Xenopus tropicalis: one gene and its partners. The protein of the gene in region 1 purifies or fractionates together with the protein of each later gene. This does not show direct contact. Links are inferred from orthologs where the notes say so. Each region holds a gene or a part of one and is shown on either strand. Other genes may lie near its edges.

Evidence for each region. Proteins that work in one complex are often made in the same cells at the same time.
Region 2: the proteins of ago2 (region 1) and ddx20 purify together in Homo sapiens (affinity purification with western blotting; 3 studies listed by BioGRID). This does not show direct contact. The link is inferred for Xenopus tropicalis from reciprocal best matches to the Homo sapiens genes AGO2 and DDX20.
Region 3: the proteins of ago2 (region 1) and gemin4 purify together in Homo sapiens (affinity purification with western blotting; 4 studies listed by BioGRID and IntAct, with this or other methods). This does not show direct contact. The link is inferred for Xenopus tropicalis from reciprocal best matches to the Homo sapiens genes AGO2 and GEMIN4.

What each region holds. Positions count from the first base shown.
Region 1 is NC_030682.2:146,755,555-146,759,763, forward strand, and holds the start of ago2 (protein argonaute-2), read left to right. Parts: upstream 1-1,409; 5' UTR 1,410-1,647; coding exon 1,648-1,669; intron 1,670-4,209.
Region 2 is NC_030678.2:59,584,993-59,587,427, reverse strand, and holds part of ddx20 (probable ATP-dependent RNA helicase DDX20), read right to left. Parts: intron 2,257-2,435; coding exon 2,174-2,256; intron 1,550-2,173; coding exon 1,444-1,549; intron 116-1,443; coding exon 14-115; intron 1-13.
Region 3 is NC_030678.2:96,483,730-96,486,422, reverse strand, and holds the end of gemin4 (gem-associated protein 4), read right to left. Parts: coding exon 2,430-2,693; 3' UTR 515-2,429; downstream 1-514. UniProt on the Homo sapiens protein: The SMN complex catalyzes the assembly of small nuclear ribonucleoproteins (snRNPs), the building blocks of the spliceosome, and thereby plays an important role in the splicing of cellular pre-mRNAs.

The DNA.
Region 1 (4,209 bases):
CTGGCACGCGGAGATGGCGCTGGCCCGGCCCGTATGTCAAATTTTCAAAGTCGATGTGGACCCTGAGCCAAAAAGTTTGCCCACCCCTGGGTTAACTTCTCAGAGGCACCCCACCCAGTTTGGTTTTAGTTCGAGAAGTTACAACACCATTCGTTTTCCTTATGTATACATCTTTTGACTTTTACTTTACACCTCCCAGCAGCTCAGGACTCTGAGAAAGCAAGACCCCGACCCGCACAACCCCCCTAACGCCCTCCCATTACCTCCTCCCCCCTTCCCTAAAGGAATGATACACAATGAATCATACTTGTATACTTTATTGATGTAACCACACACAACTTTGTGAATCATTGACTGTAATGTTTTATGATCAATAAAAAAGTTAAAATACAAAAAAAAAAAAAAGAAATTGTGGGATTCTTTCCCTGAAGGGCTGGTAATGGCAGATACATTAGATAGCACTAGGAAAGGGTTGGGCGCCTTCATATCAGTGGAAAAATACAAGGTGTGTAACATTGAAAGTGACCATACACGGGCCAATTTCATCTGCCAATAATGGTTCTTTAGACCAATTCAGCAGCTTATCTGCCCAAGTTTGGGCACCCGACCAACATCTGGCTGAAATTGGCCAGCTTTCAATTGAGCAGGTTTGATATTTCTGTGGGATCCGACAGTGCCTGTTACTGCCGTCTAACCACCCGTCGGTGGGCATATTGGGGGAAGATCCTCGCCAAACAATCAGATCTTAAGTGTATGGCCACCTTAACTGTTAGCCCAGGTCCATCCATGAGAAGAAATAATCTATACACTGCTGTCTGGTTACTGGGTACCACTCACCTTAGCAACCAGACAGTATTTTACATTTCCAAAAGAAATCAAATAATAAAGAAATTCTAAAAAAAAAAATGCCCTTCAAATATTGGTCACAAACGCAGAACCGTATAGTCATTATATTTATTACAGGGTGTATGGCTTATGGGGCTGCTCAGCCTAACAGACAAAATGCAGATGACGAAGACCAGACATAAACAGTCCATTGTCCGTCAATGTAATCGCTTTAAGCCCTCGGATAAACACAGTTCGCGGGCAAAGGCAAAGTTTAGCGCTTTATCGATTTGCCCATACCCAATATGGCAGAGCACTCACTTCCGGCGAGTAACCCAGCGCCGCTCATTATTGTTGAAAAATAACCAAACCCGCCGCGTCTGGCCCCGCCCCCTCCCCCTTATTTCTATTACAAGCTAAAGAGGAAAAAAGCTCCGCCCAGCAACAGCCGCTTTCCCTTTTCTCCCCGGCCAGAGCTCCGCCCGCGTCGTGTGACGTCACCCCCTTCCCTCCAATGCGCCGAGTTCCCGCCCCTTGACGTTGCGTGTCCCGCCCCCCAGCCTCTGTCCGCCGGCCGTTTTCCCCTCAGTTCATGTCGCGCAAAAGAAAGAGAAAAAAAAGGAAAGAAGCGAGAGAAGCGAGAGGCGGGAACTCGGCGTATTCCCTCCCACACACCGTGCCTTACACCATGGAGCCCTAACGGACTGACTGGCCGCTCTCTGAGGGGTTCTGTGCACAGCGAAGGGGGCGGGACTGGCTGCGTTACCCCCTGTGTCTGGAACTTTATTTTCCCCCTCGCACTTCGCTCTTGGGGCCGCAGACATGTACGCCGGGGCCGGGCCGGGTGAGTTAGCGCTGCTTTATCCCAATCCCACTGCGCTGGGAGAGTCAGGGCCCTAGAAGCCCTGGAAACGGCGGGAGGGCCGCCTGGTCACATGGGGAGCCGGAGTGGGGGTCATTCCAACTTGTGCCTCTCCACCTGTCCTTCTACTCTCCAGCTGCTAGGAATGCTGGGAGCTGTAGTTCAGCAACAAGTGGTGACAGAGGGGGACTATCAGTTTGCAGTTGGTCTTTATTTTCATGATATTGTGTGTTTAACTGTTTTAGTGCTGCATTTCAATGCTGACCTAGGAACCCTAAATTGTAGTATGGAGGCTGGGCATATATTGTTTATTATGTATCTTTCTATTGGGTTTCCCCGTATGTTTATCATTTGTCATTCAGACTGCGGTGTAGTTGCTAGGGAACGTGGGGCCTTAGTAACCAGGCAACCATTTTAAATTCCTAGCCGGAGAACAAATCGCAAGTCATTAAAAAGCAGGAAAACTAAAAAAAAACACAAGTGCGAGTTGTAGTAGGAATACTTTGTCTGAGGGGTCCCCAACCTTTCTTACTTGTGAGACACAGCCAAATGTAAAAAGACTTGGGGAGCAACACAAGCACCATAAATGTTCAGCCAAATAAGGGCTGTGATTGGCTATTAGGCACCTCTATGCACCCTATCAGCTTACAGGGGCTTTATTTGGTAGGAAATCTTGTTTTTATTCAACCAAAACTTGCCCCCAAGTCAGGAATTCAAAAATAACTCCCTGGTTTGGGGGCACTGAGAGCAACATCCAAGGGGTTGGGGAGCAACATGTTGCCCTGAGCCACTGGTTGGGGATCACTGTACTAAAGGCAATGTTAGGGTGAGCTGCTACTCCGACTAACAGATTGTGGATTCATTTTAATTGTGAGCGTTTTGTCCTACGTAATTGTGACCCAGACACTCTTGCATGTGTAACTATGAGCAGCGCTGGTAAATTGGATTCATCTGAAGGAAAAAAATTGCAAACCAGTAGGTAAAGGTGGCCATACACCTTCAGATTCGCTCGTTTGGCGATGTGGTCAAGCCAGCGGATCTTCTCCCAATATCCCCCACCTACGGGTGGGCGATATCGGGAGAATCTAGGCTAATTTGACTTGAATTATAACGACGGGTATAGGCAAAGTCGGTCCGGGGACTGCATCAACTAGCCAATGTGGTCCCCGATCCAACTAGATTTTCTAACCTGCCCGATCGAGATCTGCCCGATTTCAGACCAGATATCGGTCGGGCAGGCCCGTCGGTAGTGCCCATACACGGGCAGATTAGCTGCCGAATCGGTCTAAGGGACCCATATCAGCAGCTAGAATCGGCCCGTGTATGGGGACCTTAAAACTCACTCAGTAGCACGATTCAGCAATGGGTGCACATCCAGCAGGGGCCCCCACTCCTGGACACTTGCAGCCATAATATCAATATAACACCCCAAGCTTGATAGAGAGCCAATAAGGCTCAAAATGTTGCTGTTGCCGTTGTAGTGATAATAGTCATTTTAATGCTATTATGGAGTGCTGCCTGTAACGGTTTTAAAAAATAATTGTATGGTGTTTTAAAGGACAAGGAAACCCATGTGTGTATCATGTACCCCCTGCAGAGGTTTCCATCCCACCCATACTGCCCAGATCTGCCCTGTGCCTGTTAAACAGATGCAGAGTTGTGTAGTGGCAATGGGGGCTGCCATCTTGGGATGCACAACTAGAACTTGGAAAAAACAAAGTGCAGCAAATTTTCTGTATTAAAAATTAGCAATGGCTGCCGTCTCTGGCCGCTTGATGTCCAGCTCTCTTGGGGCGGTTGTTGGCCAGGAGCCTGTGCAGTTGAGGTCAGAATCAGACAGAAGTGGGCACAAACACCAATGCACTAATCTGTGTTTTACTGAAAGGTCTTGGCAAAGAAACAAGGGGGGTAAAGGTGGCAATAAACAGGCCAATTCTAGCTGCTGATATTGGTCCTTTAGACCGATTCGGTGGCTTATCTGCTCGTGTATGGGTACGAACAATGGGCCTCCCCGACTGAGGCCCTGAAATTGGCCAGATGTTTGTGCTGGTTTGGTTTCTCCGTTGGATCATGGTCCGCGTTGGCTTGTTGACGCAGTCCCTGAACCGACAGCACCTTATACCCGCCATTCTTATTCAATCTTTTGGCCCCAGGGCCAAATTAGCCCAATATCGTCCACCCGTGGGTGGGGATATCGGGAGAAGATCCACTCGCTTGGGGAGCGGATCTCACCATGTATGGCTAGCGTAAAGGTGCATGATTTAAACATGGCTTAAGTCACATGATAGTAAGGGTTCTGAATGGGGTTCTGTTAAAAGAAAGGTTTTGTGTGATTGGGCTGCCTGCCATAGTCCAGCATATACTGCTAGTTTGGCTGCTTTTGAATGGGAGCATTGCACGTGTGTTTGTTGCAGGGAAGTTGGAGTGTTAGCTCAGCTGGGGCATTAGCCGGTATCCATTATACATTCTCTGTGCAGTGTTGGGGCTCTGGAATGTACGTGCACCAGTTGTAAGGCTTTCTG
Region 2 (2,435 bases), on another chromosome or scaffold:
TGAGGGTTTTTACCTGGTAAAGGCAAAAGCTTAAGATTGCATTTCATTGCAATTCCCATCATCATATTCTCCTCTTCCCCATGGCAACAGAAAGTTACAGAGAGGCCATGAGTACCTGCAAAGATTCAGTAGTTATACACATGGATTAGAGTTTTAGAATTTGTACAGCAAGCCTTATTAAGCTTCAAGGCTACAAAACATCTTGAACCATGGGAATGAATTACCTTTTGCAACTGGTTAAGAAAACTAATAAGAGGAGCTGTTCAACAGATGGTATTTTTTATTCCATCTCAAACACTCCTACATCTATAACAGGATAAGAAGGGATATTTTTCAGTTCAACTTCAGTTTTTTTGCCCTCATCTTGCTTTTTATAAAGAACCTCACTCAATTAATGCACTTAGAAAAATAGCATCCTTTTCTTATTGCCAAAACAAGAAGAAATTCATAATATTGTATTAATGTCGATAATCTTGACAAAGTTACTGAAATGCTACTGTAAGTAGTACTGTCAGTACCATTTTACTACTTTAACCAAAATTCCATTACTACATTAGCAACTGCTCTGAAAATGTTGAAGCTTTTACATTTCTAGCCCTAAAAATAAAGAAAAATGGCTAAGTGCATGTAAATTGTAACTGCTACAGCTTCAATGTTTTTAAAAAAATTGGGCGCTAGTGATAAAAATGAAAGAATAACCCTGCTTTCTTCTTAGAATGGATTGTGAATTCCAAGACTGAAGAAAACAAAATTTATATTATTTACATAGTGTGAGTGAAGATTATTATGTTTGTAAGAAATCTCAAATTATTTTCTATTGTCTTTGTCAGTGACAGGTCCCCTTTAAAAAGCAAATAAAAAAAAGCCATGTAGTCTTTTTATAGAGTAGAACAGGGGATAGAGTTGCCATGTGTAGGCATACCCAGTGTCCATACTACGTAGGCAAAGTAGGCACACCTACAGAATAGTGCTGGGCGGTATACACCGAACACCGTTTTTTTTTTTTTTTTAAAATGATAAAAAATTTTAACTTACCGGCATACCGGTGTGGGCGCCTCCTGGCAATTTTTCTTACTATTTCCGGGTTGTGCGCGCTGACGTCACGTGCGCAACCCGTAAATAGTAAGAAAAATTGCCAGGAGGCTCTGTGAGCTGTCGGGGGTGCCTGCGGCTGCCTGGCCCGTAAGGTTTATTTATGTGAAGGGGATGGGGGTTGTTTGGGGTTGGATGGGGGGGTGTTTGGGGTTGGATGGGGGGGTGTTTGGGGTGGTCACCTAATCATGCATGGGAAAAAAAAAATACCGTCAAATACCGTGATACCGATATAATAAAAAAAATACCGTGATATAAATTTTTGGTCATACCGCCCAGCACTACTACAGAATAATACTTTACAGTCAACAGATTTAAGCACACACCAAAGGTAAAGTATTTATAATTTACCAAACCGTCCAGCTCTTCCAATTCGATGCATATAGGTTTCCCAGTCCTCTGGAACATCAAGATTAATAACCAGATTCACCCTCTCTGCATCAATCCCCCGCGAAGTCTTTAAAGAAAGAAAAAAAAAAAAAAAAGGTTCTGCCTTCACAGCCTTAGAATAAAAAGCAAAAACCTTTGTCCGTTGTTTATACTTCTAATACATGAGAGTTGATTTTTATATTTCAGCCTACAAAATGTGTTTCTAGCCTTGAGGGTCCTTTTTAACAGTAGCCACTTGACACCTTCAATTAACTTCCAAGTCTAATGCAGAATGAAAATCCTAGCAATTACAGTTCAATCTTACCGAACTCTTCCTAGCTATCCTTCAGACTAATAAGATACTGTTTGCTACAGTCAAGAATTCTACAGTGAATTTATTCTGTTTGTACTCACATTAAAGTGAATCAATAGAGTGTGCAGAGCTCTACAATGCAACAGTTCTTTGTAATTCATTTCTTTTTAGCACTTCCAAAATGAAAGGCAGCAAGTAATTATCAATAACTACAGCAGGCTATGTCAGGGACCTCTGTGCCTTCCACTGTATCAAGGGATAATCCTAGTTTATCAAAAAATGGCGTCTGTGTCTTTTAGATCAAAAAGTTTTACTCTTTTTCAATAAATTATACTAGCTGCCTTTTTTAAGAGAATTCTGCATGTTAAAGCCCAAATCATTATCAGGTTAGTCACTTACTAAATCAGTAGAAATTAAGACCCGGCAATGGAACTGCTTGAGTTTGGCCACAGCATCCAGCCTTTGGTTTTGATTCATGCTACCTAGAAATACCAAAGCTGCATTAGTAAGGTTGCTAATTAAAAACAGAAATTAATAAATTCACATTAAAATAACCCAAGGAATACAGGATAGAGTTTTTTGCCACACTACTGTACATTCTGGCACAGCTTCTAGTCTATTTGCAGTGAAGGATATAGTCATCTCTACATAAACATAAGGA
Region 3 (2,693 bases), on another chromosome or scaffold:
AACCGAATCCTTCAAAAAAGGCTGGATCCAGCCCGAATCCCGAACCAAATCCAGGATTCGCTGCATCCATACTCCCTATAGATCCCATAAGTTCTCTGTCCGTGTTGCAAATGAAGAGTGGGCGTGTCCTAACAGTCCCTGCCAGAAGCACAGTAAGAGGGTGATAGCCAACCACAGCCCTGCACTCACACAAGCAAAGACATGCTTCAGTTCCCTATCAGGTCAGCCTAGCTGCTGATTGGTTTATATCCTACAATGCAGTGTTCTGAGAGCCGCTGGCTCCCTTGCACATCCAGAGAATTCAGCCAGCAGGAAGTGGGACAGATGGACTGGACTAGTGGGATTTTGGAGGAATTTCTCAATAAATCAGTCCAAAACACAACTTAAACTCCATGGCTTTTCGCAGTATGGATTAGAGGATTTGTTTTTTTTCAACCAATTGGAGACATTACCTTCATATTTAATAACCTAAGGAAAAAATGCAGTATATTAAATCAAGACAGACACATTGAACTGCATCTATATTAAATCTTTTATTTTTTTGTATTTTTTTCAGTGCTAACATAACATTATACCCCCTGGTGCTCTCACTAGAGAAATAAACTCTGCAAATTTCCGATACAGTATGATGTGAATTTGCAGATAATAACTAGCAAAAACAGTGCAGGGTCTGAGAGCACTCCGAAAGAGACAAGGCAGCTGCTAACAAGGAAACCCTTATTTATTAAGATGCAAATAGGGCTCCAAGCACACATAGCAGCCCAGGATGGCTCAGATCTAGCTGGTATAAAAGTAATGCGTGTGACCCATAACTGTACCATTATTGCAATATATTACTCCATGCTACGTTACTTTAAAAAACAAAGTGCTTTTCTGTTCATTCTTTACTTGTCCTACACCTTGAATTTGGAACTATATGAAAGTATTACACAGAATTTCTGGTCAAAAAACAGTCTGTTTAAACACATTAAAACAAAAAAGGCACATGTGAATCAGTATAAGTAAAACTGATATAGATCATACTAATGGTTATATTTATCTTATAACTTGCAAATCCCATAATGGGTAGGAAACAGGCAATGAGGATATATGCTGCACACCCACTGTCTTAACTGACTACTGGTGCTAGCTTCCTTTTAAACCAGGCAAGGTCCACAATAAGACTATAGTGATATTAAAGGAGTGACACCCACGCTTATTTATGCAGTCAGGGAGATGACCAACCGTGCATCAACGTTTCAGGAGAATGCAACCCACCCATCGTCAGGCAAGTAAGGAAAAGGCAAGCCATGGTTTTATATTAGTATATTAAATATAAAATGAATCCTCTTAGACTGATTACAGACTATATAAGGAAAACATATCCCGCTTTTTGAAAAAAAGTGTAATGCAACCCCTCCTTCGTCCTGTTCCATTGTGAAGTGATGGATTCTGTGACTTGGACTCCCTCTACTTTTCAAAGAATTTTTGAACTTCCCCTCTATAAAGCAGAAGGACTTAAAATGCTATAATCTATCACTTTAAGAAACAAGGTGAGGGAGGGGTTGGATAGCTGTAAGCGGTTAGGAACCGGTACTTACAGCAGCAATATGTAATAAATAAAAAAACAAAATAAATAAGCTCATGTCAAAAAGTGTAGAGGAGCATATTATCTATTTAAGCATTGATGGCTTAAATACAAGATGTTTGTACAAAATGCTATTTTCAGATTTCTGTATTATGCTATATTGTACATACCTGGGTAAATTATGCCTGCTTTTGTAGTTTAAAACTGGTTGGAAGCAATTTCCCCTTGTATTAGGCCAGTGCCACATGGGGCTGAGCCTGTGTTTATCCTCACACACAAGCAGTTTCATGCCAAATTTCACTGTGTGTACCTGTGCCCAGGCAGAGAATATGCTCTGTGTAGCATTGGTCTAAGCAATTACGCAGCAGAACAGGTCGTATAAAGAAAGATATTACATTTCAACTAAAAAAAAAAAATAGTATTCTATACTAAGTTAAAACTGAAAAAAGTATGACTTACTGAATTAGCCACAAAAGATTTCACCTAATCCTGTTCCTACTCCACCATATGCAAAAAATGAAATGTTCAGATACAATTTGGCCAGGTTCTCAAGATGTATCTCAATCCTGAAATAAATAGTCTGGGATTTGTTTAAATTTCTTATTAAATGCAGAATTTAGTACTTATCCAATAACTTGTAATACAAATTCTTACAAATGTTATTTGTGTCATATATTTTTATGACTTCAATAAAAGTACTGCAGCTCCTTGGTGACTTAATAGCCATAAATTTTTGAACTAGGGGGTACTTAATCCTTATATTTTTAGGTGTTAATATTTATTAAATATACAGCTAGATAAAGGTTTCATGTACCACTGTTTTTTTCAAAAACGTTTCTTTCCTCACACTGGAAGTTTTTCTCTACAATTTATTAATTTTTTGCATTAGAGTTGTGCGATGGTGCTCATCACTTACATTCTCAGTAATGGATTTCAAGAAATGCCTCTCGTTAGCTCTTCTGAGAAAACTGTCTGTTGAAGTGTCACTTGCCCTTAGAGTCTCATACAGGGACAGAATCTCAAGTGAAAGTACATAAAGCGGCTCACATGTATTGTCCGGCATCATTGCTATAATATGAAGAACATGGCAGAATACCTGCATATAAAAGAAGGAAGCCTCCTGAAC